Struthio camelus: one gene and its partners. The protein of the gene in region 2 interacts with the protein of the main gene of each other region in a biochemical or structural test. Links are inferred from orthologs where the notes say so. Each region holds a gene or a part of one and is shown on either strand. Other genes may lie near its edges.

Region 1 (6,888 bases), on a different chromosome or scaffold from region 2:
TCCCTCACAGAGAGCTCACATCCAAACACAGGACCTCCCGGAGCAGCCCTTGTCCGGTATAAAATACTGGAACACTCACCATGCCCTAGAGAAGAACATTCGCCCAAGCTAGAAAGGACGCTGTGCTTAAATGGAGGCTATTTCCAACCTAAGAGTTCAGCTTCAGCTTTTCTGTTAGAGCTAGGTCTTAAAAGTACTTGGCACTGTCTTTAAAGTATGTCCAATGGATTCTCCTCTCCTCCCCAAACTAACCTAGTCCAAAGCTTGAGCCAAGAGATTTTTCTCCAGTCTGCAGATGGTTCTGGGCACAGATTAACCACAGAAAATATCATCGTTTGAAGCAATTTAAAAGAAAAAAAAGCAATACGGTTTCAAACAGACTCTAACTGCTGTCTGATCACTAAAGTAAACGTGAGCAGAAAGCAAGGCAGCTGCCACGGGATCCATAAGAGTACAAAAGCCCTTTCCTTCAGTTAAGGGTGAGATTCGTTAATAAAGACTGCCATTAAATTAACCAGAGTTACAAGAAACAATAAAGATGGGCTAACAGCAAAGCTGATGAAGAGATTAGAAAGCAGCAGCCAATTCTGTCTATAACACACTGGATAGTAAGTCTGAGAAGGCGCTCCCCACATACACATTCAAGAGAAGGGGAAAGCCCAAAACAAAGGAGCCCTCAGTGGGCTGCCAGCTAGGCAGGAGCTGCAGGGTTTTATGAAACAGAATTGGCAACTGTGATTTTGGAGTGTGCAGGCAAACTTGGCATCAGAGCACTATGAGATGGCTGTGGCTCCCAGAGGTCTGGAGTAACTTTGCTACAGATAGATCTGGACGATGCCAACGCCAAAAAAAAAAAAAAAACAGCAAACGAGCAAAATGCAGAAAAAGAAAAGATAGCTAAGGTCGGGTCTGGAGAAGGCGACTCACAGCAGAGGCCATTAATAACCCAGCATGGATATTTTAAGCACAACACACAATCATTTGAGTGGCAACCTGATCTATTGCACATGTGTCTGAATGGGGTGCTTGCCAAGAAGTGGAGAATGGGTCAGTATGGCTCAAGCAGGAACACAGAATGAAACATCAGAGTTTCCTGAAAGGGAGATATTCTCGGCCAGGGAATATTCCCCAAAAGGAGGCAGAGGAAACATGATCACCAGAGTGAGCCTTGGCCTGATCAAAGCACCAGGACTGCTTCTGCTGGAAATGTTTTGATGGAGACAGGAATTTAAGGGGTGTTTTTTCCACTTTTAACACCTAAAAGGAACAAAGAGAAGCAGTAACTACGTCCACAGCCCAAATCTGCCAGCACCAATCCACTGAAATAGCCAAACGCCTTCGCTTTCCTGATGTTTTCTGGCATCATAGCCCTGCAGGGATGCTCTTAGCCAAGAAAAGCAGTATGCAGGACCCATTCACAAGAATGACCTGTGCTGGAAGCCTCACCTCAGCTGGCTGCTGCTGTCCAAGGATGCCCAGGGTTTGCGGCAAGGAATCTCCCAAGCGTGCTTCAGCCTTTGGTTTCACAGCTCCGTCCCCTGACTGGGGCTGGATCTCTTTGCTAGCCAGGAGCTTCTGCTGCTGCTGTTTTTGCAGTTCTCCCTCCTCCAGGTACCTGCCATAAGAGGTAGCATAAGAGTAGAGCATAAGAGCAGGAAGACTTCTCAGCCCCCAGATGTTTGACTAGGAAATCCTTCTGCAATTTTTAGGGACGGAGCAAACAACCAACAAGAATTTTGCTCTCTCAGATCACAGATTCATTACTTCGGTCTTGGCTCAGTCTCCCAGTCTCCATTCTCTTCGTTGACCTGCACCTTTCACTCCTATCTACCTTAGTCTTAGACTCTTCCTCCAAAGCTCTGCCAATACATTTTGATCCTAACCTGCAGCTGCCTGCTGCTCCGTTTGTGTTTCCTTGCGTGCCTAGTAGTCAGTTCTCTCTCTATTTTTCATCTGCAATAAGCAAAAACAGCATTTAATTCTCAACATTTCTAAAAAAAAAACCTCCTTGCTATCACTGATGGATTAGGAAGAGCTGCCTTGAGCACCTGTAGCAAGCAACAGTACTCCTGGTAGCATTTCCGGGCTCTATTCCAAGTTCTGCTATCCCACAGACCAGTAACTAGTCACAAAGCGACTAAATTTCATGAACTATACAGGGGGAAATGACTTTGAGCCATGCCCAAGGGACCTGCAATGAGTTTCAGTCTAAGATCTTGAGCAGAGGTGAAATACCAGTGCAGCTCAGCTTGGAATAGAGGCACTGTGGGGGAGAACGACAGCCTAGGATTTGCATACCTGCAAGGGATAAAGACACTGTAGCCAGTGGTACTCAGCAGCTTCTGGTCTCTAATGCAAGCACTTAGCCAGGATGCCTTCACTAGCTGCAACCCTGAAGGTAGCTTGGGTAACTTAAGGAGCCGAAAGGCACGATCACAGTCCATGTCTTCAGCCACTATGACGTGCGTCACCTCCGAGGAGAGGTGGGCGTGGACCCGACCCCCATTCTGGACAATTTGCTTGTGGAAGATCTCTGCCCTGGCTTGGCCAATGCCAGCTCGCAACACATAGGCAGTGACTGGTTTCAGCCACTCTGCTGAGGAAAAACACAGGGCAGGAGGTCAGTGTGAGAGAAAGAGTGTCCCAAACCAGTCAGGCTACCTCTCTCATGCGGGACTCCTTGGGATCAACCGCGGCAGGCAATCTTTGGGGGCCACCAGCTGCAGGCCTGTGGCTGGACACACCAAACCTTGCCAGTCGCGGCCTCTACAGGAAAAGCACCTGGGCCAGAAAAAGCCTCTGGGAGAAACACATCTCCAGTTAACAAGCTGGGAGATGAGCACTGTATACGCATGACGGGCAGACTGCACTTACCCTCAGGTACCCCTGCTCCTTCCTCTTTGGTGATCTTTGGAGGGATGCTTTTCCCCGAGTCATCCCTCACCTTCTTCCTCTTGGGAAAGGCCTTGACGATCCCCCGCGGCTCCATGGGCTGCGCGTCGCTTCCCCGCGGGAGGGTAACGCTGCGAACGCCGAACACCGCTAAGGAAGAGGAAGGTTGCTCGGCACAGTATCAGGCAAGCACCCCAAGCCAGGCTCCGCTCATTCGGCTCGCAGGCCCGGCCGGCGCGGGGCCTTCTCCGTGCTGCCTCGCCAAGGCGCGCGCGCCCCGGGGGAAACACCTGGAAGGGAGGGCGCAGGACCCCCGGCAGAAACCGCTAAGGAGCCACTTAAGACGAGCCTGCTCGAGGGCCCTGGAAACCACGAGCAGCAGGTGCTCGCAGCACAGAGGCAACGCTCTGTTAACGACGAGGAGCTCCTTCCTGCCCGGCCAAAAGCTTCATTTCCCACGGGTGTTTTAGGGAGGGAAACACCCCTCGCCACCGGGCGCGGGCAGCCGCCGCCGCCATCACCGGGGCCTCAGGCCGCAGCAGCGGCAAGAAACCCCCAGCCCGCCTCCAGCTGGAGGCAGAAAGTCGCAAAGGCCGCCCGGGCCAGCCCGACAGGTTCCCCCCGTCACTCCAGGCCCCCCGCCACCCCTCTCACCGGCGGGCCCGGCCCGGCCCGCGATGGCGGCGCTTCCGGCAGCGGGCGGAAGCGCGCGCGCTGCCATGGCGACGGCGGGCGGCCGCCATGGCGGTGCCGAGCTGGCTGGAGAGGCTGCGGGCCGCCCGCAAGACCGCGCTGGTGCAGGACGGTAACCGGCGGCCCGGGGCGGCCCTCCGGGAGCGCAGCGGGGCTGGGCGGGAGGGGGGCGCTGGCGGGCAGCGGCTTGGGGCCCTGCGAGCCCGCGGCCATGCAACCGGGGAGAGGGTCCTTGAGCGGGGGACAGGGCCCCAGACTGGGGTGGGGGTGGGGGGGGGACGACGACATGGCCCCTGAACAGGGGACAGGGCCCCAGACTGGGGTGGGGGGGGACAGGGCCCCTGAACAGGGGACAGGGCCCCAGACTGGGGTGGGGGGGGACAGGGCCCCTGAACAGGGGACAGGGCCCCAGACTGGGGTGGGGGGGGGGGACAGGGCCCCTGAAAGGGGACAGGGCCCCAGACTGGGGGTGGGGGTGGGACAGGGCCCCTGAAAGGGGACAGGGCTCCAGACTGGGGTGGGGGTGGGACAGGGCCCCTGAACAGGGGACAGGGCCCCTGAACAGGGGACAGGGCCCCAGACTGGGGGTGGGGGGCAGGACAGGGCCCCTGAACAGGGGACAGGGTGGGACAGGGCCCCTGAACAGGGGACAGGGCCCCAGACTGGGGTGGGGGCGGGACAGGGCCCCTGAAAGGGGACAGGGCCCCAGACTGGGGGTGGGGGGCGGGACAGGGCCCCAGACTGGGAGGGGGGGTGGGACAGGGCCCCTGAACAGGGGACAGGGTGGGACAGGGCCCCTGAAAGGGGACAGGGCCCCAGACTGGGGGTGGGGGGCAGGACAGGGCCCCTGAACAGGGGACAGGGTGGGACAGGGCCCCTGAACAGGGGACAGGGCCCCAGACTGGGGCAGGGGGGCACAGGGCCCCTGAACAGGGGACAGGGCCCCAGACTGGAGGGGGGGGCAGGGTCATACATCTGGGGACAGGGTCGTAAACCCAGGGACAGGGCCTCCGAGAAGGGGCTCCGTCTGCCTCCCACCCTCACCGCCCACTTTGCCTCTAGGGAAGAAGAAGGTCCACTACCTGTTTGAGGATGGCAAAGAGATGGCTGAAGAGTACGACGTGCAGACGGGTCAGTTAGTGAGTAAGTGACGCGCTCGGCTGGCCCCCAGCTGCCCCAGGCGTAGCAGAGCGAGGCGAGTGGCACCAGTGCGTGCGTGCGGCAGCAGGTCTGCGCTCGCCAGCCTGGGGTAATCTCCCGAGGGACCTCCTGGTTAGAAAAAAGTTGCTCCCAAATGGCCCAGAAGACAATTCTGCCTTTAGCGCCCCTGAAATTTGTAGGGATGTAAATAAGGTCCAGCTTGGACCCAGAGGTCTCTCCCTTCCAGGGCATAGCAGACCTTATTTTAACCCAGGATCTCTCCTAAACATCCACTCTGTCACAACAGGCTTGAAGGGACCGAAAGGGATTGCCCTCTCGGTCTGTAGCACGCGCTGGGGTGAAGTATGCTTTTTGACAACTTCTGCAACCGCAAGCAGGCAAGATGTCAGTTTGGGTCTTACCCAAAACCACATCAACTGCAGTGTGGCACCTGCTGCAAGCCCTCTGTGGGTTCAGCACCGACTAACAAAAGAGAGAGACTCAGTGCTGATTTTCTGACTTTAGGAGCTGGCCAGCTAACTGATCGACTTACACCTAAGTGGAAATGACTGGAATTAAGGGAAAAGGCATATCATCTCAATGGGCTGGGCAATTTTGTTGGCTATTTTCTGGAGTACTTTTTATGGAACAGAATAATGAAAACCCTCCTTCTCCTTTCCACAGGTAGAAAATGGCGAGAGAAGAATGCTTTAGGGGGCTCCGGCAAGTGGCAGGTTGAGGTGGGAGAGCCAACCTCACCTCTCGTGGGAACACTGGAATCAGAGCTCATAAAGGAAAGCAGCTCCAATGTATGTAAAGGGTCTGCAGGCACCGCTCCGCCTAGAAACCTAGCCTCGTGCTTACAGTAGTAGTTCGTAGACTGCAGATCACTCATAGCCCCAAGAGGCAGCCTTAGCTGGCCTAGTGCTCATCCCATAGGTGTGGGGCTGAGCAGAAAGGGCACAGTTTAGTTTGTTTGCAGTCTTCAAGAGCTTTGGAGTTTCCTTAAGTAGAGAAACTGTCTACGTTGCTGTGTTGGCTAGCTCCTGTTTTGGCTTCCAAAAAATAGCCTCAAAGGAAGGCCAGTGCCTGGACAAGTCAGTGGATGGAAAGCAGAGGCAGTGACCATGAGAACATGACACCTGCAGTGCATAGCACTGCCTGTATCAGCTTCTCATCCCAACAGCTTGCAAGGCTGTTAGTCTCTAATCTGAAACACAAGCACAGCCCTGCACAGCAAACTGGGACACAGCCAGGACCAAGTGCAGCAGGTCCCTAGGGTAGGGGAAGAGGCCCGGTTTCCACATAACACTGTCGTTCAAGAGCCCCTCGTTGAACATTCCCAGCCTCCTACAGGCAGGGCAGGCAGTGAGTGCCCTGGGTAAAGGCTGTGCCATAGCAGTGCCAGCTTTAGGAGACTGATGCTCAGGCAGTTTGAGTTATTCCCTGCTCTGCTCGAGTGTGAAGGAAGGGCTGCCTCATGTGAAACCTCTCAAGATAGTACAGGAAGAAGGGCTAGGGAAAAGAGAAGACACAACTGGAGGGGACTTGCTAAAGGTACTTGTTTGCTGCAGCCTGTCTTCATGAGGAAGGATACCCTGACCAGCTTCCAGTGGCGGATCCGTAACCTGCCCTACCCCAAGGAAGTTTACAGTGTCTCCGTGGAGAAGGAGCAGCGCTGCTGTGTCATCCGGACCACCAATAAGAAGTCAGTAAGGACAGCACTGCCAGTGCTGAGAGTCCCTCGGGGTGGGCTGGCATAGAGGACAGGCTAGTGATGGCACAGGGGAGGTATCATCTCTTGGCTTTAGGCTCTGCCATGCAAGGACTGAGCAACCACAGCCAGTATACACAGCTGAGTGCCTCCTCCTGTCTGATTTCCACTCCCAGGTACCCCAGACATGTCTCTGGTAAAGCCCCTCAGCTCTGCGCTGCCCTTCACAAAATTATCACACAATTCCAGTAACAAGATGTTTGCTCTGTCCTTTCCCTGTCCAGCAGCACTCCTGTAATAAATAAAATAGGACCCCCTCCCCGACCTCTTGAAGCTAGAGTCGCCAGCTCTAGATGACGGAGCATTTGGATGACACTTTGATCTAGTCACATTTCAGAATGTGTGGAGCTGCAGGATTCAACTGGTATAGCATAAGTCATGTGGGCATC
Region 2 (7,819 bases):
AAAGACTATTGGAGGAACAGGAATAATCTAGAAGAGCAAAAATTCCTATTTTGAATGACACCAGTATAGCAAAACAGTAAGCTGAAAAATATTTACAAAAGTATCTACAAAACAGGCCTAACAGTGCTCATTTGACGGTCCAATGTACTGAAACTGCTGAACTGTGCGGACAATTTCCTTCACAAAGTCAGTTGTCTTCTCCAAAGAGCTGAGCAGATCTCCCAGCCCAATTAAGAACCTTCTTGTTGATCTTCAATCTTTGGAGCCAGATAGTATTTTAAGTGTCCCATGTCAGCAATCTTGTACTCCACAACTGGAAAAAATATTCAGAAAATAGTTCAGAAAAAGCCAATCAAGCCCTCTTAACATAGTTCTAAGAGGACAGTGCTCTACAGGGTTACTTCCCAGAAGAGCTGCTTCTACTTACCAAGAGGAACATCTGCAGACATGCTGAGTGTGACTGTAGGTGACAGTGGAGTGGCTTTGGTAAAAAAGTTCAAATACCTCAAAGCAAAGGTTAATTGGACAGGCTCATTCATCTCTATTGTAACCTAGGAGAACATCAGCCAGGTTAGAGTTCAATTAACACAAGCCACAAGCTCCCCCAAGTTTGTCAAATAAATCAGTGTCACAGACCTAGACACCTCAGGCAAAGGCAGAGAACAGCCAGCACTATTCCCCACTCTGTTCTGCTTAGCACTGCACGGCAGACCCCAGGGCTAAGGGGCCAAAGTTGGCAGTGATTTGTTGACTCGCTTCTACAAAGTGGAGAAAAACAACCCATCTTTATCTACCTGTAGGTGGCCTATGACACTACCATAGAGAGTAAGTTACTAGCAGAAACCTTAACCCTGAGAACAACAGCTAGCCATCAACACAACTTACAGCTTCTTCCTCTTTATCCACATTACTGGTCTGTGACAGTTTGATGTTCCCATTTCCTAGCTCTCCATTAGCTGAAAACTTCACACCATCTTTGGCACAAGAGATGACAACTGCATCTCCAATGTGGCTGAGATCTCTGCAGATGCGTGCAAACTCAGCAGAAGGCATCTTCACTACACAACTGTATTCTTGCTCCTGCAAAGGAAGTGTCACAATTAAACTTCTACCAAGAAGCTTGATGTAGTCACTACACTTCAGTTGTCGCTACTTACTGGAATTCCAAGTTGCTCCACATCCAGATCCATTAGCTTCATCTCATAGTCAGACACTTTTTCCTGATCTAAAACAAACAAAGCTTAGTCCGACAAAGTGTTTAAAAAAGCCATCATCCTCAATTTAAGTTCTACCCAAAATTTTTTCCGGAGTAAAAACACCTCAGTTAGGATAACGGGATCCATCTTGTTTAGTCCCATTTTTGAGAGCCTTCCAGCTTCTGAAGTATTTCTTCTTGGCCCCACCACCCAGACACAGGAAGATCACCACATACTTAGGAAGATCACCTAAAAACATCACAGGAGCAAATTATTTACTAAACATAACACTTACTTGGTGCTTCAAACACTAGAGCCAGTGTGTCTGCATTGTCTTCTGCTCTGAGTGTTATTATGTCTTCGTTTCCAGCACATTTCAGTATTTTTGACATGCTAGGGGAACGAAAACTAGATCGTAAAAGGTCCCAGCCTGATAGGGCAAAAATATGGGCTCACTACTCTATAGTGTTAAAAGTCGTCTAAGAAACAACCACTAGCCTCCAGTGCAACACCTGACACAATCCTGTATTATGATTTCTATGCAGTCCTTTACTCCCTTCTGCGGGCACAAAACCCTCACCTTTAGCACCTGCAGCACACCCCACAAGTTCAGAAGGGCAGTGAACCCTTTAGATGACAGCCAAGTGCCAGGAAGGCAGCACATGCTGCTGCGCACCTCGGCCTGGGAGGCCAGACCCCCCCCCCCCCGCTTCCAGCCACCCTGACGGCTAACAAGAGCCGAGCTCAGGCTTGTCCCCCGCTGCCTCCCTGTCTCTTGGGACGGAGGGGACGCAGGGCCACCCGGGGAGACGCCATGGCGGGCAGGGCCCTGCCAGGCCCCTTCCCCGCCCGGCTTTCCCGCCACGGCGCGCCGGCAGTGACGTCACCGCCGCCGCCAGGCCCCGCGCGCGCGGCGAAAAACGGCGCCAGCGTTCTGTGGAGAATGGGGGAGGGGCGGCGGCTGCTCCCCTCAGCGCCGAGCCCGCCCCCCCGCCCCCACCAACGGGCCCTAACGGCTGCTCCCCTCAGCGCCGAGCCCGCCCCCCCGCCCCCACCAACGGGCCCTAACGGCTGCTCCCCTCAGCGCCGAGCCCGCCCCCCCGCCCCCACCAACGGGCCCTAACGGCTGCTCCCCTCAGCGCCGAGCCCCCCCGCCCCCCCGCCCCCACCAACGGGCCCTAACGGCTGCTCCCCTCAGCGCCGAGCCCGTCCCCAGTCTCCGACAGGCCGCGGCCGCCGCTACCTGGCGAGGTTGACGCCCATGGCGATGTTGCGGTCGCAGCGGTAGGTGTCGAAGCCCTCGGAGCGCAGCGTGAGCTGCACCAGGGAGACGTGCGAGGAGTCCATGCTCTGCAGGCTGATGCCGCCCGAGCCCAGGTCCCAGCAGGCCTCGGTGATGAGGTCCTTGAGTGCCTCCAGCACCCGCTTGAGCACCGAGCCCTGCACCAGCCGCGCCTCGAACATCCTCGCAGCGGCAGCGACCGACGAGGCCCGCCCGCACGCACAAACAGAAAAGGTAAGCGGCCGCCAAAGGCCGCAGCCCGCCAAACGCCGCTTTTATACCCTGCCCCCCCGCCCCGCCCACCTCCGGGGCGGCGCCAATCGCGACCCGCGCTCCCTGCAGCGAGGCCCGATCCACGCTCACGTCACGCGCTGCCCCGCCCCCTTCCCCCCACCCCGACTCCGGCTAATCCCGGCGCCGCTCCTCCCCTTAGTCCCGCTGCCCCGGCGAGAGCCAATCAACGCGCGCGTTACACACACACGCACATAGAACGCGAGGCGCCAGGGTCCGTCTGCCGTCACCGGGCACCACCCATCATGGCGGCGCGCGGCGGAGCGGCGCGCACATCCGGGTACACCTGGGCGGAGCCGAGGAGGAGGGAGGGTGATGGGCGGGGCCTAGAAGCCACACCCACCCACCCCTCGGGCGGGCGGGCCGTCCCGCGGCGGCGATTGGCTGAGCGCGCCTTGCGCTCGCCCGCCCCCTGGCGGCCGCGGCCGGGCGCAGCGGCGGCAGCAGCGGCGGTAGCGGCAGCGGCGGCGGCGGCAGCAGCGGCGGCGGCGGCGGCGGGGGGGAGTCGGGCGCGGAGCGGCGCGGAGCGGAGCCCGGCGCCGGCATGAGCGAGCTGCGGCAGCGGCTCGGCCGCCAGCCCGGCGCGGCGCCGCCGCCGGAGCCCGAGGAAAAGGTGGGGGACGGCGGGGAGGGGCGGCGGGGCCTGGGCCGCGGAGAGCGCTGCGGGGCTGCGTGTGCGCGGCGGAGCCTTCCTCCCCCTCCTCCTCCTCCTCCTCCTGCTGCCGAGCCGCGGATGCTTCCCAGCGCGGAGATCCGGGCGGGTTTTTGGGGCGGGGAACCCCGAGGGGACGCGGGATTTCCGAGTTATAACATATAACCCTTGGCAAAATACACCCCGCGGCGGGCCAGACGTCGCGGCACCGAGACCTCGGACGCTTCGAGGCCGTTTTCACGCTTGCGTTTCTCCTCGGAATAACCCCCGGGAAGGAAACCCCGCTCTCGCTTTCCTGGAGCGCCTGCCTTCCTTGCGGCCCCAGCGCGGCGCGATGCTCCCGCTCCGAACCCCGCGCTCGGCCGCCGCTCCGCCAGCCCTCGCTGCGCCCTAAGGGCCGGGGAGAAGCAGCCACTGAGCTGTCAAGGAGAGAGCAGAAGTCTCTCTGGGCAAATAACAACCCTAGGAAGCGTGGCAACACCTGGAAGGGAGACCGCGCTCCTTCGCTGCGTTCGCGCCTTAGCGTGCGCGTTTTTTTGGCCGCCCCGTTTGCCCTTAGCCGGCCCTCGGGAGCGTCGTGTTGGTGGCGTTCCCTCCTCCGCCGAGCGCGCTCTGCGCCCGGCCGTGAGATAATCCTTCAGAAACCTCTTTCGCGGTTTAACGTCCTGAGAGGACGGGAGCTGGAAAGCGCTGACGGCGTTGCGAGCGGGTTGCCTCGGTGCCCGTCTGAAGTTTCTGCCTTGTGCGTGGTTGGCGCGAAGCGGGCTGGCTGCGGGGCGGATTTGGCCGACCTCGATCGGAGCGGCAGTCAGAGCGCTCTTTTTTGTCGCGGCGCTGCGTAGAGCAAAACCGTTATCCTCTAGATAGTTGCGTTTGCCAAGCCGCGGTCTTGCTTTAGCTGCTCGTGCTGTGTTGCTAAAGCAGGTCAGAGGGCCGCTAGTTTGACCGCGATCTTGTTATCTCCGTGCTGTGCTTTTTTTTTTTTTTTTTTTAAACATATAATGGGCCTTCTAAAGGGCTCCTCCTCTTTTTTCTTTCCTCCCCTGAGATCAAGCCTAACATCGGTAGAAAGCCAACCGGCCGCAAAACGGCTCTTCTCATACTATTTATCGGTGGTCTTAGCCTGTCCGGGGCGCCGTGCAGTTATCGCTGTCGAGCGGGGAGATGCCCACGGCCGCTGCGTCGTTCGGTTAGCCTCGCCGGGAAGAACGATTTAGCGAGAGGTATTATATTCTGCAGAAACAGCTGTGGCTTTTTGCAAAGAGCTTTTGGTGTATTAAAGGAAACAAGTGAAAATGAGTTGTAAGCCTCAAGGCTGTTTTTAAGATCGGACCCGGAAAGTCGTAAGCTGGGTTGCTTTGTGCTTGTTTCCACTTTGCTCTGTTTTGACGGTGGAAAGAGAGAGGCTGGTTTCACTTTCAGGTCCTGTAACCCTTGCACGATATCACAGCTTTGACCGTTTCCTCTCCGTTGGCACCAGGCGGTGTTTACAGCCGACACCGCGCTCATTCAATGGAGACCCTTGGGCAAGAACCTTTTAAAATGGACTTTTGTCAAGCTGTCCTGCAGCACAGTCTTCTTCCCGAAAGGCATAAGGCAGCATCTTCTTACTCCTTTAGGAGCGAACTCCATCAGGTCTCTCTGGTTAAAAGACAGGAGGAGAACTTGAACTGCTGTTTTTTGTGCGTGGTGCCTGTTTTCTCTTCGCCCGAAGGACTTAAATGCTCTTAGCTGCTGCTGCTGCTGAGATTAGATGGTTGGAACAAACTCTAGTTTCTTGTTACCATGCAGCTGCTGTTCTCCCTCGCGTCTCGTAGACGCTGCGTTTTACTTGATAGGCTCATTCGTCATGTAAAACTGGAGACAAGAGATACGATCGCTCGTGTTGTAGGCATCCCGGTGAATCCCGTTTTCTCTTCCAGCTTCCAAAGAGAGTAGTAAAGGTGCCAAAAATATATATTTCACAGTATGTGCAGAGCTCCTGAACGCTTCTGCTGTTTTAATGGGATTTTAATGTCATTCTTCAGTAGTGGTTTGTGCTGCCTGTGATTCGACAGCGAGGGCAGCGGTTTTTTCCCCCTTTTCTGGCCTTTTGCTGGAACGTTGCACTGGTTCGGAAATCGGTGGGGGACATCTCAGGGGCTGGCCTTGCGGAAGGGGAGGAGGGCAAGTCTATTTAGGGGCAGGCTTATCTGGGCTGGAGATCACACCAACGGGCAGGCGTCACTCGGGGCTTTGTTTACCCCCTTCTTTGTCACTGGCCCTCAGTGCCTTGGTGGAAAATACTGTCCCCGGCAGGAGAGGCAGCAGCTGCAAGGGCAAAGGGAAGCGGTCCTCCACGCAGCAGCCGCGCTCTGCGGCGTCCCCGCGCCACGGGCCGGGCAGGCGAATTTTTTCCACGGTGCCGCGTTCGGCGTCTCGTCGCACCTGCAGCAGATGCTAAGTAAACGCCAGGTATTTGAGCACTAGCGCTGACCGCTTCAGGTCTGCTTGGGAGGGTCAAGGGCTGGTGCGAAGGGTTGCCTGGCCCGTGCCGAAGAAAAGGAAGGAGCAGTTAAGGCTGCTGTTTGGCTAGGGAGAGAGAGCGGGGCATGGATGCGATGCCTCTCTCCGTCTAGTGCATGGTTAAGAGAGGCAGAATTACAAGCCCTCTTTCAGACCTGCCCCAAAGGCTCCTTTTTTACAGCTCTTAAAATTATTTTAGACTTGATCCTGAGCATCAGTTTGCTTGGCTTCTGCTGAAGAGTGAGCCTCATTTATTCTTCACGGATGCAATCTCAGGTCTGATTTCGGTCGTCCTCGCTGCTTAACGCTCAGCTTTATGCGCGGCTGCCGAGAGGCGTGCCGCGTTATCCGCCACTGTTAATTGTGGCAAGGAGAGACGGGACTGATTGCACTTCTAATGGAGCTCGTTATAACCGACGGTCAACGGTTACTACCTTCCCCAGCTCCTGGCCTGCCCTGGAGCCAATGCAAGAGGCACAGACTGCTTGTGATGTCCTTCAGACAGCGGCCCACTACTCCCTTCTGCCAATGGCACGCGTCCTCCTCCGAACTGCCCGTTTCCTGGCTCGTTTGTGGCGATGCACCCTGGGACAGAGTGCACCCTCAGCAAGTTTGCTGATGATACTAGACTGGGAGGAGTGGCTGACACAGCAGAAGACTGTGCTGCCATTCAGAGGGACGTGGACAGGCTGGAGAGCTGGGTGGAGAGGAACCTCCTGAAGTTCAACAAAGGCAAGTGCAAGGTCCTGCACCTAGGCAGGAATAACTCCAGGCACCAGGACAGGCTGGGGGCTGACCTGCTGGAAAGTAGCTCTGCCGAGAAGGACCTGGGAGTGCTGGTGGACAACAAGTTAAACATGAGCCAGCAGTGTGCCCTTGTGGCCAAGAAGGCCAATGGTATGCTGGGGTGCATTAGGCAGAGTGTTGCCAGCAGGTCGAGGGAAGTGATCCTGTGCCTCTGCTCAGCCCTGGTGAGGCCTCACCTGGAGTACTGTGTCCAGTTCTGGGCTCCCCAGGACAAGAGAGACATGGCACTGCTGGAGAGAGTCCAGCGGAGGGCTACCAAGATGATTAGAGGGCTGGAGCACCTCTCCTAGGAAGAAAGACTGCGAGAGCTGGGCCTGTTCAGCCTGGAGAAGAGAAGACTGAGAGGGGATCTCATCAACGTGTACCAGTATCTGAAGGGGGAGTGTCAAGAGGATGAGGCCAGCCTCTTCTCCGTGGTGCCCAGCAACAGGACAAGAGGCAACGGGCAGAAACTGAACCACAGGAAGTTCCACCTGAACCTGAGAAAAAACTTCTTCACTGTGAGGGTGACAGAGCATTGGAACAGGTTCCCCAGAGAGGTGGTGGAGTCTCCTTCCCTGGAGATATTCAAAACCCGTCTGGATGTGATCCTGGACAATATGCTCTAGAGGACCCTGCTTGAGCAGGGAGGTTGGACTAGATGGTCTCCAGAGGTCCCTTCCAACCTAAACCACTCTGTGATTCTGTGATGCCGGAGGAGTCTGATCCCAGGAAAACGCTGCTGCTTTAGGGAGCAAGCGCGTTGGAGTCGCCCCGCTCCTTCTAGGACTGCAAGGCGGCCCTTCGCACAGAGGCGCATGTGACGACGCGATGGCGCAAGCGCCGAGACTCGGGATGCTCGGGTGAAACCCCCCTGAAACGCTTGTTGCTTTTCCGTCACTCAGCCCCTTTGGTTTGTTCAGAGCTGGCGTCTACGTACCGCCCTTATTTAATAACTAGACAATTTACCCGCGGGGGTCTCTCCTTGCCGCCTGCCTGCGACCAGACGCCGGGGACCAGTCTCGTGGCCCGGAGGGAGGCCCGCCGCTGCGAAGAGGGAAGTTGGGATGCGAGTTTTGTGTTGCTCTTCCCAGCTGGGGCCGGCGC
Region 3 (6,913 bases), on a different chromosome or scaffold from region 2:
TCAGTGTGAGTAAAAAGTTGTACTTCAGGTTAATAGCTTCTGGTTTTCTAATATAATATGTTTCCCTGTGATGTGTCGCATCCTGTGATGTTGCTCTGAAATCTGGAAAAAATGTGTGAAAACAACAGAGAAATTGTTTTCAAAAGAAAACACTACAAATCTACTGTAGCCAGCTAGACTGGCATTAAGCAGGTTCTTTAGCTTGTACGGCAGCAAATTTTTCTGCACACAAGGGGCTCGATCAAGCCCCATGTCCTGTGGCTCAGTGATGCTGGGCATGCAGCATGCACAACTGCTTGGTAAAATTTGGCCCAGTGCAGATAACCCATGCACTAGGCAAATTCTGAGATTTCTGTGGAGCGTGGACTTTCTTCTGGCCACAGCACAGGACACAATTTTACTCATGCTGCTTGGATTCAACTAACTGTCCATTGGCCACCTAAAAAATAGGTGTGTGGTTTAAGCTACGTGTCTATGTTGCCTCCAAATCACATTCACTATAGGGTGAGATGACTTCCCCTTTGGATGTAGACCTTGGGGATTAAGTTTAAGAGATGGTCTGGACCAGCGCACATTCCCAAGGTCATACTATTATCTTTTTGCATGGGGCATGTGCAAACAATGCATAACTGCCTCAAGCACCGACCTTTCATTACTTTTTTTTCCTAGGTGGGTGTGGGTTTTAGGCAAAAGAAGAATTCTAGCTTTTACCCTAAGAGACTTTACCACATATATGGTATGTAAGGAAGCACTGTCGTTTCAAAGACAAGCCTACCCGGAGCAACTGGACTCCTGCCTTTGGCTTTCGTTGCAGTGTTACTGATTCAAGGTCCAAACGTTTACAGATTTCATCTTGTCTCAGTTACACCATCCTGTTTCTACCACAGACTTGATCGCCCAGCACCTTCCAGCTCTCGGTGAAGAGACTCCTCAGTTGGCTCCTGAAATTGGCAGCATAAAGCAGATTTAATGAAACACATTATTAAGCAACGAAGCAGTTTCGTGGCTTTTGAGCACCACCCACCTGGACACAACTTAATTACACTTGTTGTCTCATAGAAAAGAACCTCTGTAGAGCTGAGTGTTTGTGTATTTTAATTGCTGTGAACTTACAGCTGAGTTTACAAAGTGGAGTTAAATGTATATATGTCTGCATCGTACTGCAGAATTTAGGTCAGGAAGCAGCGGGGTCTGATACTTGATCTAGCTCTATGCACCCACATCACAAGATACACGGTACGCAGAGCTTTTTGGTATGCAGCTGTACCTCTGTAAAAGCAGCTCATGCTCCAAACCCTAGGAGTCCTACTTGCCCTTTCAGCGCAGAACAAGCCCTGCAGGAAGCCAGCTTCTCGCTGCAACAGAAACCCTATGGTATCTGCATGCCGGTGCCATGCAGGCTGGCAGACTTAGCAAGCTGTCAGGCATTTGGATGTATGCTAAATCCCATGACTTTCAATGGCAGCTCAGTATCGAACCAAATTTGGAGTTCTGTAAACCCCATGAGGCAAGTATACAAATCGTTAGGTCAAGACATACCTTGAGGATCTGAACCTTGCCTCCTGAGGTGAGGGGCCTGTGCTCGTGCAGGCATACAAGCATATTTTGCCCAGTAGGAAAATGCCAAATATGTGTTCCAAGAATGTATATGACTATCAGAGTGTATGGCAACGTCTATCATAATTCAAATCTGTGTTTAGGGATATTGATCTACAGTAATAATTAATTCATGTAGCAATTTTAACAAATCCAGACAGTTTGCAGAGAACTCTCTGAAATAAAATTGCTTTAAAAACCCTATCCAGATTAAGAGCTAGGCTTCCAATTTTCTTGTATCACTAACAGGTTTTACTCAACAAATGTCAAAGTTATACGTTGTTGCACAACAAATGTGTAACTTTTGATAACAAAAAACAAGCGCATAAATCTTGAGGGAACTGCTTGAAAAGAGGGGTGTAAAATATACTGGAATGTGGACAGGAGTCAGCTACTTGCTGGACTTTGGCCTGGAGGCCTTCCAGCTTTAAAGTGCTCAAATTTGGCGGTAACTATGCCCGAGGTGAAGGGATGCTAAGGCCTAGGATTGGGCATGGCCTCAAGTTGGTTATGAAACCAATCCTATTAAAACGTATTACTGAGTAACTTCGAAAATGCTTACAGAAGTTTTCCAATGGAGTCACAGACATACTTGCAACAAACAACTGTGTCTTGGCTTAACAGGCTTTTTAAAAAAATATAACTGTTACACCAATGCCTAAAAATTGTCACTACCATGCCGCCTCCTTAGTTCTCAAGATAAAAAACGAATCTTTAAAAGACTTCTGACACTTTGAGGCAATATTAAACTATGTAGGATCATAGTATATAGATTTGACATAGCTGGTTCATGTGGTATAAGAAATATTGATGACAGCAACATCTCCATCATGTTTCTCCCGTCTCACTCAGTAAGTCCTGTCATTGGATAGGAGTTGTGAAAAATATAAGACCTTATATGGAGTAAATAAGGAGCAATTTTCAGAGCCAGATGAATCTGTGAAATATAGAGGCTTGTAAGTAAAGGCAAGACCTCGTAATTCAGAGCAAGTGAAGCCACAATGAATTATTGAGGCCTTTTTTCATAAGCAGGATGATTCTGTGTTCCACAGATGTTCACTTTAAAATATTTTAAATCTAATGTCAGTCTTTCTTTTTATTACAAAAGGAAAGTGCCTATCTCTTCAGGTACGTAGAACTGTTTCTGTTCATAAACAGCATCTACTAATCGAGTTAAGGGGCCTATCTAAAATTTACTTTGCTACAATTTCAGAGACAAAGAGATGTATTTCATGACCTCTCATAATCTTGATTGCCAAAGATTCTTCTTCAAAACAAAAACATACCATTAGGCTGGGGGGGGGGGAAGAGGAGGACCAAAAAAAACCCTCCTAGCTTTTTTGTTAAGACAGTCTACTGAATCCATACTTGGAACACGTATCATGCACGTAATACACATATTTACTCCAACCGTCATCAGAATTGGTCACTCAGACCACGTTTTTAGGCACAGATTTTGCAGATTTCTTGTACTGCTCTACCTGCAAACCGCCTCTCTAGGGATGTGCAGCAGCAGAACAGGCTGATCTCTACTATTCTCCCCAAAACTGCCCAAACATGCTTTTGCCGGCATGTGGTGCCTACACTCAGGTCCTCGCAGCCATGACGAAGACTCTGACTGCCCGGATTCTTCACAGCCGCGCTACCCTAAATTTTCAGCACCGCCCTCACAGAACTAAGACAAGAATCCTTGGTTTATGAGTGAAAAAAGCTGGCGATAATTATCCTACGCACTTAGAAAATGAGCCCCCCTCCCCTCCCCGAACTGGCTCGAACCGGCCCGAACCGGCTGCCGCCGCCCCTCCCCCCGGGCGCGGCCGGCCAACGGCCGGCGGGCGCTGACGTCACCGCGCGCGCGGCCCTCCCCCCGGCGGCGGGAAGCCCCGGGGGCGGCGCTGCCAGGCACGGGGTTTCCCCGGCCGCGCCGCGGAGGCTCGCGCCCCACCCCTTTTCCCGCGCGGCCGTTACCTCGGGCCCGTTTGAACGGCGCGAGAGGCACGCTCAACCCCCGCCAGGCAGGGATTGGCCGCGCGCCGCTCGCTCTGATTGGCAGAGGCGGGAGGGGGCGGGGTCAGAGCGGGACCAATCCACTCCCCGCCTGGAGGTGGGGGGGGGGGGAGATCGTTCCGTGGGATGGTTTAGCCCAGCCTCCCCTCCTCCCCGCCCCCGCTCGCCTTCCACCTCGCAAGCCCGAGCCCTTTGGCCAGGCCGTTAGCAGCGCCCGCGCGCGCCCAGTCAGGACCCCGCGGGCTGCCCGCCGCGCTGCCTGACTGCGGGCGCGGCGGCGCGGCCCGTGCGCTGCCGGCGCGGCCCGTGCGCGGGTCCGGCCCGGCTGCCGCACGCCGCTGGGGCGCGGGCCGCTCGCGATCGCCATGGCCCCGCGGGCCTCGCGGGTGCCGGCGGCGGCTTCCGCTCCGGCGTTTGCGCGAGGCGGTTGCAAGCGCCTGGGCGCCAGGAGGGGTGAGGGCGCGGGTCCTGGCGCCGCGGAAAACGCGCCAAGTTTCCCGTTGTGGGGAGCGCGGCGCCGGGGCGCCCCGCGGTCTCCATAGCAACCGGGGAGGGGGTGTCCGGGGCAGCGCCCCCCGCCCGGCGGGCGCGCGGCAGGCGGCGGCGGCCGGGGCCGCGCGAAGATGTAGCGGGTGAGGAGGAGGCGGCGGCGCCCGCGGGGATCCGCTCCCGCCCGGCGGCGGGCTCGGGCCGCGGCTGCGGCTGCTGCCGCCGCCGCCGCCGCGCCGGGGCCAGGCTCGCCGGGCCGGGCCGGGTCGGGTCGGTCCGGGCTGGGGGCGGCGCGAGGGGCCTCCCGAGCGGGCCGGGGCGGCGGCGGCGTCCCGGGCCCCTGGGGGGACGGGCGGGCGGGGGCCGCTTCCCGCCGCGAAAGTCGGTAACGCTGTGTGTGTGTGTTTGACAGGTGTGACTGCCGCTCGCAGCTTTCTGTCCGGGCTGCTCTTATCCCCCCCTGCCCTTATTTGTTTGTGAGGGAGGAAAAATGCCAGGTGTGTTACCGAGTGACAGTAACGGGCTTTCGAGAGGGAGCCCGTCAAAGAAAAACAGGCTTTCATTGAAGCTTTTCCAAAAAAAGGAAGCGAAAAGAGCACTGGATTTTACAGAGTCACAAGAAAATGAACAAAAGAGCTCAGAATACAGAGGCTCTGAAATGTATGTAAGAGTTTCGTTTTGAATAAGAATTTCTGATTGTGATGTAGATCGATGTAAAAAATAATCCAATAATTCAGAGAGTTCTGTTTAATATAATGGATGAGCGATGGCTGTTCCATCCATCTGTTAAGTTTTATATTCTTGCTTCAATATGTTTTTCAACATGTATCATATAAACCCTAGACCCAGGTTAATCGGACTGAAATAACTCCTACTTGAGACCTCTAAGAAAACAAGTGAATCAACTTGCCTCACTATGAATGTTTAGTTGGCAAAAACTTTTTAATAACTTGAGGAAGTTACCCGTTATTTCACATTATTAGAAGGTAGTTATTCTGATGCATTATTTAAAAGGTAAAAAAAGTTTTGTTTTGTTTTGTTTTTTTGCAAAATTAGTTTTAGTGAAAAGTACTGGTTTTTAAAATGTTATTTCTGTTACAAGTAAAAGCATCATTTATGCTACTTACTAACTTTTATTAGGGTGTTTCAAGCCTTGAGTGAGTCTGTCAACTCATTTCGCTGCAAGTAGTGCAAAAGTTTTAATGGGAAAAAGAAAAATTGCCTCATCATGGCAGATTACAAATGCATTTAAGATAGTAAGATTTGGTCCTGTTTTACAAGTAACAGCACATTAACACTGATGTAATGTGCCAGGTTCCTCTCTTAGGTCTTTACCCTTTTGTTTTGTTTTCAGGAACTTATATGACATGAATCTGGAGTAGAGGTAGTAATAGGAAAATATGTGCTAGGCACATTTATCTTAGTGCTGCCTTAGGAGTAGACGAAGAGCATAAAAGAGCGTTCAAAAGACGAATGTTTTAGTTCCTTAAGTCAGTTTCCTGGTCTTGTTCAAAAAATATGTATTGGAACTAATGACAGATTTGCCTGCTTCTTGTAAACCTGTCTATTTCTGTGTATGTTGCTAGAAAGAAGTGTTTCAGTTGAGTGGGTCTGTCTTTGAGTGCATAGGGTAGCCATACTGAGCCTTCAGAAACAGTTTAACGCAATTTTGATTTATGTTTATTAGTCACTAATTTATAAGGTAACTCTGAAATGGTAGATGGCCAGGAGAGATAATTGCATGTGTACTAGAAAGGCTAATGTTTAAAAATTCTCTCTCATGTACTGTTTTCTCTATTTAATAGTGATCAGGTTGTTCCTGCAGCACAGCCTCCGTCACTCATTAGCTGTGAGAAAAAGGACACCATGTTGCCTTTTGTGGGCTTGAACAATCTAGGTAACACTTGTTACCTTAACAGCGTACTTCAGGTAAAGTCGTGTTCAGGGGCTTTTAAAAAAACAATTTTGTTTTGATTATGTACAAGCAGATGAGATTCCTAATTGGACATTATCTAGATGATGTCTAGATATTGTATAGAGGGAGTGTAATTACAGTGGAAAAAAAAGATGATACGGCAGGGAATATGTGCACCGTAGATTGCCTTGATTGAGTAATCTGTCAATTTACATACTCTGGCCACCTCCCTGCCATGAATAATTCTGTACCTTTGAGTGCTGTGCAGTAGCCTTAGGAGATGCAACGCTAGTTTGAGCTGAAGTGTGGATATATATTTTGAATAACTTCTTACTTTATCACCTGTTACCTTGTTTTAAACTGTTGCTTTCAGGTGTTATATTTCTGTCCTGGTTTTAAAACTGGAGTAAAGCATTTATATAATATCATTTCAAAGAAGAAAGAATCTTTGAAGGATGAAGGAGAGCAAAAATCAGAAAAGGTAATATTTCTCACGGCATGTTCTTTTACTTGCCGTTGTGCAAGTGAGGCTATATGCCAGGAGTATAATGTACATTTCACTGATTTCTTCTGTATTTATATGAAGACTTGCAGTATGGCTTTTGCAGTGCCATTTAATGTGAAGATACTGAATTGTTTTGGATTTATATTCAAATTTGATGCTGTTCCTCAGAGTTCCTGTAAAGCTTGAAAGCAGACGTCTTAGGTTTTTGAATTTCTATTAAACTTATCTCACCATATTTCTCACGTTAAGATAATTATGATACTCTTTGTAAGTGGATGGAAATTGCTGTTTGGCCAGAGATGGCTGTTTTGGGTTTTTAAAATGAGCAGTCTCCTGGGCTTTTGTATTTGTCTTCTGCTGGCAGAAGAGCAATATATTGACTGAGAATCACTTGTTTCCCA
Region 4 (7,552 bases), on a different chromosome or scaffold from region 2:
AGCTTTCTCAAAAGGCTCAAAACAGCAGAAAGCAATTCTCGCCAGAAGACATAACTGGCGAGCGCAAACCCAGGAGCAGTTCCACCCCTGCTCAGCACGTATACTTTCCTATTCTACTAATTTGCTCCATCTCTTCACCCTCATTTACTCAAGCCACATATGTCGTTTTCAGACTCTCACAGGGCAATATCCACTTTCCTGATTTTCCCCTCTAATAATGTAGTTAGGGCAAAACAAATACACAGGCCAAATAGTCCGGACTAAGTCTAGGCCAGGCTTGCCTAGAGTGTCCAAGCCCATTCACCAGGACTGCTCTACCCCACGCCTTTAAGGATGAGGTTATTGTGCCTGCTGCAAGAGAAACTCCCACTTTACATCTCAACGGATATATTCTGGAAAAGCCTATTCACTTCTCAACCGTTCAAGTCATGTGATCCTTTCAGCCATCTGCGCAGATAATGCCCTCTTTAATTTAAGAGTTCCCCTTGCAGTACAGGGCCAAAAGTCACAACGCTTTCATCACTTTCTCCATAGAGCCGAGACACTAAATTGAAACTAATTCAGATTCCAAACCACCAGCTCATGCAGAGCTATGGCTTTAGAGGTGTTCATCCTTGTGCTCCAACCTTCGCTGGCCAAAAGCATCACATGACCCCAGGAGCGCTGAACACACCCTGACTTTTCCCCTAAAGCAACTGCCCATGTCAAATGGTGCACACCTATCAAGATGGCTGACAGCACAAGTTTTGTACCCTTAATTCTGAGAAGCAGATAAAGACTCATTTGACTTGTCCTCTGTCCTCAACTGCCAACTTACAGGTCCTCAAGGCACTGCAGCTTCGCTTAAAGCATTGTTTTCTACCCCCCGGTTTCAGAAACACGGAACTTGAGAAGTATCCGCACCGACTTGTGCTAGAAGTGACTAGGCTACGCTTCCAATTAGCGTTCTGTCATAGTAACTGGAACGGCCTCGTGAAGTACAGAATGGAGGTTGTAAAACATCACTTACAGACAAAACTGCTTTTGAACACTGTCCACGCGCTAACTACCAAAATGATAAGTCACGAGGCATGCACTTCATCATCAATTTATAAGCATGAATCTATAATAGAACTTAAAGTTACATTGACACTACGCGAACTTACCAGCAGCTCAAAAGAGCAAGATTTAAATATTTTAGGTAAACAGTTTAAAGGATTCAAAAGGGTAATAGTTCAGTTACTATATGAATAAGTTGGCAACGCTCTCCAGACTCTTCCCATGAGCTTTGTGAATATCCTAGTCATCCTTTCCACTGTGAGCTCAGAAAGCCTTATTACCTACTATACTCCCTACTCTAATGAAATAATATTTAGAAAACAACCCAAGAAGAGAGACCAACCTTCCTAATAGGCGTGGAGACAGCTAAAGGACTACAGTTTCTCTTTGTTTCTGCAGCAGGCTGTGCCTCAGGTGAGCTCACAGAGTGAGAACTTAAGGAGGAATTAGTAAGTAGAGAGTCTCCTTCGCGGGATGATTCCAGAGTCTCATTTTCTGATGTGATGCTTCCATCCAGAGAAGCAACTTGAGGAGACTTGGCAGTCATAATATCCTCCAGGAGCACTACAGGCATCTTCCCCTCAAATATGACATCCTTCAGTTCACTCTGATTTATCTTTGTTTTCTCCAAGTTGTTACACTCTGGTAACCCAGAACAAGACTGGCTTCCACCTACCAAAACTTCATCTTTATTTGCCGCAGCTTCACACGGTGCAGTCTCCATTGAATCATCCATTGGGCTATTCTGACTAGAATTCATGCAACTCGACTGGTTTATATCTTTTTCTAGCATGCCATTAGTTATACCTACAGATGAAGATGCTTCTGAATCTAAATTAGCATGGTCCACATCATCACTCAGTCTATGGCTAGAGTCCTTTGTCAGGTCAATAATGATTACAGTGTCATTTGTGTTATGTTTTGTGTTTTTCTGTATAAAGTGATCTAACGGACCCTTTCCGTTAACAAGTTTTGGAGTAAAATTCACATCTGCATCCAACTGGCAGTCATTCTCCACATTGTCCAGGGACGCACATGACGTATCGAGAGAGGAATCCTTGTTTTGTCCAAAACTGCTTTGTGAGCTCTTTACTTTTTTGACTTCTGAATCCGCATCATATTTTTCCTTTGGTACAGGATTCAAGCGCTTGAAAGGCAGCCGGGCTGAAACAATAACATTTCGCTATTTTAGTCACATCATATAAACCCATGGGGGGAGGGGGGGGAAGGGACACAAACACTGCAATATTCACCTAGTTCTTAAACACAAGAAGAGAAACTGATGAGCTAGAAGGGAAGAGTTTATTATCGCAAACACAATCTATTGTACAAGTTCAGGCCTGACACGTTTTAAAGCACTAAGACCGCACTGGGTGCTAGACACCTGCTCCAGAGCCTTACCTTGCACAAGCTTCCGTGGGGGAACAACCGCTTTGCCTCGACACTCCATGGCTGCAAGGAAAAAAAAACACCAGTGACAGGTTTCTGCTTAGTCACCTGCTCCCCAGGGGCAGCCGGGCCACAGCGGCCCCGACGCCCCTCCCCAACACGCAGGGCAGTCGGGACCTCTCGGCCACACAAAGCCCAGCCGCGACCCGGCGCCCTGAGAGGGCCTGGCCACCCCCCGAGTAGCAGCGGCGGCAGCGAGCGGGGGACAGCGGCCACCGGGCCGCAGCGGCGGCGGGACCAGGCCCGGCGCCTCCCTTTGTTACCGCAGGAGGCCTCAGCGCACCCGCCGGGAACCGCAGCGGGCCGGCGGAGCCGAGGGCGCCGCCCGGGGGCCCCGCAGCCCCCCCTACCTGCCATGGGCGGGGGCGGCGGCGCCCGCCGCTCCCTCCGCCGGCGGCAGCGGCAACAGCCCGGCCCGGTCCCCTCTCGCCCCGCCCGAGCGGGACCCGCTCGTATTTGGCGGGAGCCGGGGCGACCCCGCGCCTCACCGCGCCGATAGGCGGAGCGCGCCCCACGTGACGCGCCCTTCCGCCCGCTCCGCCCCCGCGCCCGCCGCCCAAGTCTCGCGAGAACGCCGCCTCGCCCGGCGGAGGGAGGCCCGGCGCTTGCCCGCCTTCGCTGCCTTCCGATTGGCCAGCGGGATAGCCGCAGCTGATTGGCGCAGGCTGCTGTCAGTCTGGCCCGCTACGCAGAGCTGATTGGCTGGCTGAGGGAGGCTCCAGCTGGCTCTTCACGCCTGGCCTCGAGGCCTCGTTGCTCAGCGAGCGGGAGCCGAGACAGCGGCGATGCGGTCCCGGGGGAAAGCTCCGGAGAGGTCGGAGCGGCCATTCCGCAGCGCCGGGCAGCGGGAAAGACCCGGCCGCCGCGCCGCGCCGTCAAGGGGGCGCGAGCCAAACCGCGAAATGGCGGCGGCGGCAGCCAATGAGCGAGCGCCTTCCCGGCGCGAGCCCCCTCCGCGCGGGGGTGTGGGAGGAGGGCGCGAAGACGCTGCCGCAAGGGCCTCTGGGAGTTGTAGTTCGGCGGCGGCTGCGAGGCGGAGAGCCTCCTGGGAGTTGTAGTCGCCCCTTTGCCTCTCCCAGCGCTATGGCAGCCCTTGGGGGGGGGGGCGGGCGGGAAGGGGGGCACAGCTTGTCCCCACACTGTCCCCACACGGGCCCTCGCTCCCAGGCCTCGGCCCGCCGCCCCCTGACCCCCCGTGCTGCCCTGCCCCAGGCGGCGTGGGACGCAGCGCCCCGCCACGGGCCTGCTGGGGACGCGGCCCCCGCCCAGCCTGCCCGCCGCGCCTCCCCGGGAGCAGCTCCCTCCTGGTCGGGAGGGCTGCGGGCCCCATGGCGCTCGCGGGCTGGCGTTGTCCCCCCTCCTTAGGGACGGAGCGAGCGCCCTGCGGTGCCTCGCTCTGGCAGTTGTAGGAGTTGACCCTTCACGCTTCCGTCGCTGAAGGTATTTTTTTCACTTTAGGTTTATAAACGCGCCCCGTGGTCCGTAGCAGGGCACTCAGGGCGGGAGCGGAACCGGTTACGGGTCCGGAGAGAGCTGTTTTGCACCAGCGGCTGAGAAAGCGCTGCCTCCCGCGCAGGCGGCTTGTGCCCGTCTCCTGCGGAGAGTTACGCTGGACCGCGGAGCTGCCACGACGCTCCCGCCGCCAGGTAAGAGCGGAGCCGCTGAGGCGGCGGTCAGAGCGCGGAAGCGTCGCCGCGGCGAAGGCGTCGCTGCGCCGGGCCGGAAACCGTAGCCGACGGGGCGGCACTATCGCGACACAACCTCCTTCCCCTCCTCCCGGGGGCGCCTCCCTCGCGGCCTGCGCCGCCCGCGCCGGCAGGGGGCGCCGCGGCTGCCCGCCGAGCAGCAGGGCGGCGCTCTAGCCGCGCGCCTCTCGGTGGCGGCGGCGGTGGCGGCGCCCCGCCAGGCCGGCAGGGGGCGCAGTGGTGGCGGGTCGGGTCCCGCGGCGGCGGCGGCGGCGGCGGCGGAAGCTGCGCGCCAGGCGTCCGCCGCCCGCTGTGTCCGTGCGCGGCCGGCCGAGGCGGCAGCATGTCGGTGGCGGGGCTGAAGAAGCAGTTCTACAAGGCGAGCCAGGTGAGCGCCCTGCCGCTGCCCCCGCGCCGCCTTCAGCCCTCCCGGCGCGCTGCCCCCCCCCCCCGCTGCCGTGCTTCGGTGCTGCCCCGTTTCCCGCCGTCACCCCCCCCCGGTGCCCTCCTTGCCGGTTTCGTGTCCTCCAGCTTGGTGCCAGCCGTTATTCCCCGGTGCCCCCCCCCCCGGTATCGCCGTCCGGTGGCGGTACCGCTCCCTCTGACAACGCGCCGTTACTCCCATCCCGGACCGGTGCCCGTTCCCCCCCCCCCACACCCTCCCCGCTACCGGGGTCCGGTGCCGGTTCTGTCACTGCCAGCTCGGTGCCACCGGCGGGGCCCCTCCCGCGTCCCGAGGAGGCCGAGGGCCGCCGGCGCAGCGAGATGGCGGAGCCTCCCGGCTTGGGCCGCTCGTCGCCCTCCGAGGTTGCCCGAGCCCTGGGCCGAGCTGGCAGGAGACGCGGTTGTTCCTGTCGCACCGGCGGGTCCCGGGCTCGGGATGACGCCGGGTCGGCCGCCACCGCCGCTTTCTAGCGACGCTTGAAGTCCTCTCTCCGGGTCGACGGCGCGGACGCGCTGCGCCTCGTCGCCAGAAAGGGACGGCGGCCCCGGGACGGAGGGAGCTCGTTCCGCGCCCCAAACCTCGCCGCCAGCGAGCCGCAGCCGTCCCGTGGGCATCAGGGCGCGAGGGCGGCGACGGACCAGCGCGGCAAGGAGCCTGCAGGCGGTGAGATGCTCTTGGACTAAACGTCGAGTCGGTGTATGGATTCCAGGAGCAAAAAAATAAAGACGGAAAGGCTGAAATTCTGCAGCGGAGCAGAATTCAGGCCCGGAAGGTGAGGTCTTGGCTAGGGATCACCGGCCCTCGTTAAGCCCAGCCTGGCAGAGAGCAGCGGCAGATTGCAGCTGCAGCCTAACCTCAGGAAGTTCCCGCTTCCTTGATAGTAGCTGACATTGGGACTGGGAAAGGATTTTGCGGTTTGCAGGGTGAGGGTGTCCAGCTTCTCAGCCTGTGTATGCGCTGCACAGGAAATGGAGGCCTGGCGATTCTGGAAAAACTGTCAGAGGTGCAATTTTTTAGTAATTTATTAGCCAAACGAAGCCATTTAAAATCTTCCTTAATTGATAGTTCAAAGTGACGCTCCTGAACTAAAAAGCGTGTTTACGTCTTCGTAAAAAGTACATCTTAGGTATGGCTCCTCACAGCTTGGCGGTGGGCTGAAGTTCTCCAGCTGAACGCGGGGGGATTGGCCTCTAATGCAGTTCACAAGCACTTTGTGCCCCTGTTTTAAATTTAAGACAGATGAGTTTTGCACTGATCTACCAATTGGCTCTGTGTGTTTTCCAGGCGTAATGTTTCAACACTTCCAAGCTTGGTCCAAATATGTTTGCTACGTGTGTTGCCTCCTTTCTTGGCTGTAATTCATGTAAAAGCATTTTGCTTAAGCAGCAAAGCAAAATAATAAATTCCTTAAGTCGTTCCCCCATCCCTTTTCTTGCGACAGAAAAGCAATCCCCTGCATCTAGTTTTTTACAACTTCCAAGGGAAAGATTGCACTGAAAATTCATTGTTGGAGGATTTTACTTGTGCAGATCTGCTGTGTTGTCGTAGCAGGGCAATTAGAGGTGAAAGCTCATCTGTGAGTCAAAAGTAACGTGATTCTGAAGTCCGAGTGCGTCATCCTAAAACATCTGCTGAAACTTTTCACCAGGAGAATTATTTTAAACTGAGGTAAATCACAGGTGGCCTTTGCAGGTGTTTTTCTGTTCCATATGTAACTTTTTGAAAGGAACCGTTCTAGTTGCTCGTGGAAAAATTAAACCCCATGCAGCTCTTTGGTGAGATGTAGCCCAAATATTCTGACTTAGTGGCCTGTTTGTATATTGTGTGTGTACGCACATGCTTTATTTGAACACTATGTTCAAGGGCATTACTAAAAAGTGGGAGATAAGGTGTAGGTGCAATTGCACCTTGAGTTCTTTTGCAGCTCGTGCTGCTGCAGGGTTTTGGAAACTGATTTAATCTGAAGAAATTGCGTTTAACGCGAGGCTTGCTGCCAATATTCACGGTACCATTGCAGAAGTGAATTGCATGCTTTGCGGGGAAGTAGAGAAGGGCAGTCTGCTATCAGAGGACAGACACTGCTGGCTCCTTTGGAGCATCCTGGGGGCTGGGACGCAGAAGTATCTGAGCTTTAGAGATTCTTTTTCTGCGATCTGGGAGCGATTGGTCCCAGTTCTACCATTTTCCTGCATTCTCCTCCTCCTCTTTCCCTTTTCACTCTTCTTCCCCCTCCTTCCACCAGTCCCACTCTTGGGCTCCTTGGCTGAAGGAGAAGGAGGATTAGTTATTTTTTGGCTCTCTTAAAGGTATTAGGTGCTGCCAAACCCGAACATGTGGAAGATTTTTCCTAAAATGTTGCAGTTAATTCCATGTCTGTTGTTGATTGAAGGAAAACGTAGCCAGGACCAAGGCCTGTGAGGACCCTCTCAGAACCTCTCTGTTGCTGCAGCTCTGGGTGTGGGATTTTCCCCCTTGCCTCCCAGCGAGAAGAGGCTGCCAGTTCGGCCTCCTCCAGACCCGGACAAAGCAGGGTGGTGCTGCAGGCGGTGAAGAGGGCTTGGTCCTGAGCTCCTGCCTTTAGGAAGGCCTGACTTATCTGATTCTTGTGGGTCTACATGTTCCCTGGGTGAGGCTGCCAGGCGCCCACACGCAGGAGAGAGCCGAGATAGTATCCTGCAAAAAAAAATCCTGCTTGCAAATGCCGCAGAGGGTGAACAGTTCTGTGTGTGCGTCCAGAACAGGTTTTGCTAGTTCACAGTGAAATGTCCTTTTTTAAGGAGGGGGAAAAATCCCATCGAAAACATTCTCCCAAGAGGTAGGGGGAGAAACAACAGCATCTTTGAGTTCCAGCGCTGTGAGCCAGGAGCAAGGTGGGAAGTTGCGCTGCAGCCTCCGTCAGCGCCAGGGATGTGAGACCGGGCCGGTCCCAGGCTCC

The links.
Region 1: the proteins of PCNA (region 2) and POLL form a complex in vitro, tested with the Homo sapiens proteins (3 studies listed by BioGRID). The link is inferred for Struthio camelus from reciprocal best matches to the Homo sapiens genes PCNA and POLL.
Region 3: of the proteins of PCNA (region 2) and USP1, one has a biochemical effect on the other in vitro, tested with the Homo sapiens proteins (6 studies listed by BioGRID, with this or other methods). The link is inferred for Struthio camelus from reciprocal best matches to the Homo sapiens genes PCNA and USP1.
Region 4: the proteins of PCNA (region 2) and CHAF1A form a complex in vitro, tested with the Homo sapiens proteins (4 studies listed by BioGRID and IntAct). The link is inferred for Struthio camelus from reciprocal best matches to the Homo sapiens genes PCNA and CHAF1A.

Annotation. Positions count from the first base shown.
Region 1 is NC_090948.1:16,303,806-16,310,693, forward strand, and holds the start of POLL (DNA polymerase lambda), read right to left. Parts: upstream 2,990-6,888; coding exon 2,875-2,989; exon of another isoform or gene 2,629-2,874; intron 2,597-2,628; coding exon 2,299-2,596; intron 1,616-2,298; coding exon 1,447-1,615; intron 1-1,446. Other genes in the region: protein DPCD, read left to right, coding at 2,988-3,077, 3,526-3,697, 4,648-4,716, 5,410-5,534, 6,300-6,433.
Region 2 is NC_090968.1:2,625,770-2,633,588, forward strand, and holds the start of PCNA (proliferating cell nuclear antigen), read right to left. Parts: upstream 3,015-7,819; 5' UTR 2,661-3,014; coding exon 2,440-2,660; intron 1,590-2,439; coding exon 1,492-1,589; intron 1,226-1,491; coding exon 1,158-1,225; intron 1,081-1,157; coding exon 886-1,080; intron 552-885; coding exon 428-551; intron 314-427; coding exon 231-313; 3' UTR 1-230. Other genes in the region: CDS2 (phosphatidate cytidylyltransferase 2), read left to right, coding at 3,314-3,382. UniProt on the Homo sapiens protein: Auxiliary protein of DNA polymerase delta and epsilon, is involved in the control of eukaryotic DNA replication by increasing the polymerase's processibility during elongation of the leading strand.
Region 3 is NC_090949.1:35,396,026-35,402,938, forward strand, and holds the start of USP1 (ubiquitin carboxyl-terminal hydrolase 1), read left to right. Parts: upstream 1-3,904; 5' UTR 3,905-4,056; exon of another isoform or gene 4,057-4,235; intron 4,236-4,504; 5' UTR 4,505-4,582; coding exon 4,583-4,752; intron 4,753-5,897; coding exon 5,898-6,021; intron 6,022-6,380; coding exon 6,381-6,488; intron 6,489-6,913. UniProt on the Homo sapiens protein: Negative regulator of DNA damage repair which specifically deubiquitinates monoubiquitinated FANCD2. Also involved in PCNA-mediated translesion synthesis (TLS) by deubiquitinating monoubiquitinated PCNA.
Region 4 is NC_090967.1:4,459,020-4,466,571, reverse strand, and holds the start of CHAF1A (chromatin assembly factor 1 subunit A), read right to left. Parts: upstream 3,004-7,552; 5' UTR 2,845-3,003; coding exon 2,838-2,844; intron 2,491-2,837; coding exon 2,440-2,490; intron 2,203-2,439; coding exon 1,382-2,202; intron 1-1,381. Other genes in the region: SH3GL1 (endophilin-A2), read left to right, coding at 4,516-4,560. UniProt on the Homo sapiens protein: Acts as a component of the histone chaperone complex chromatin assembly factor 1 (CAF-1), which assembles histone octamers onto DNA during replication and repair.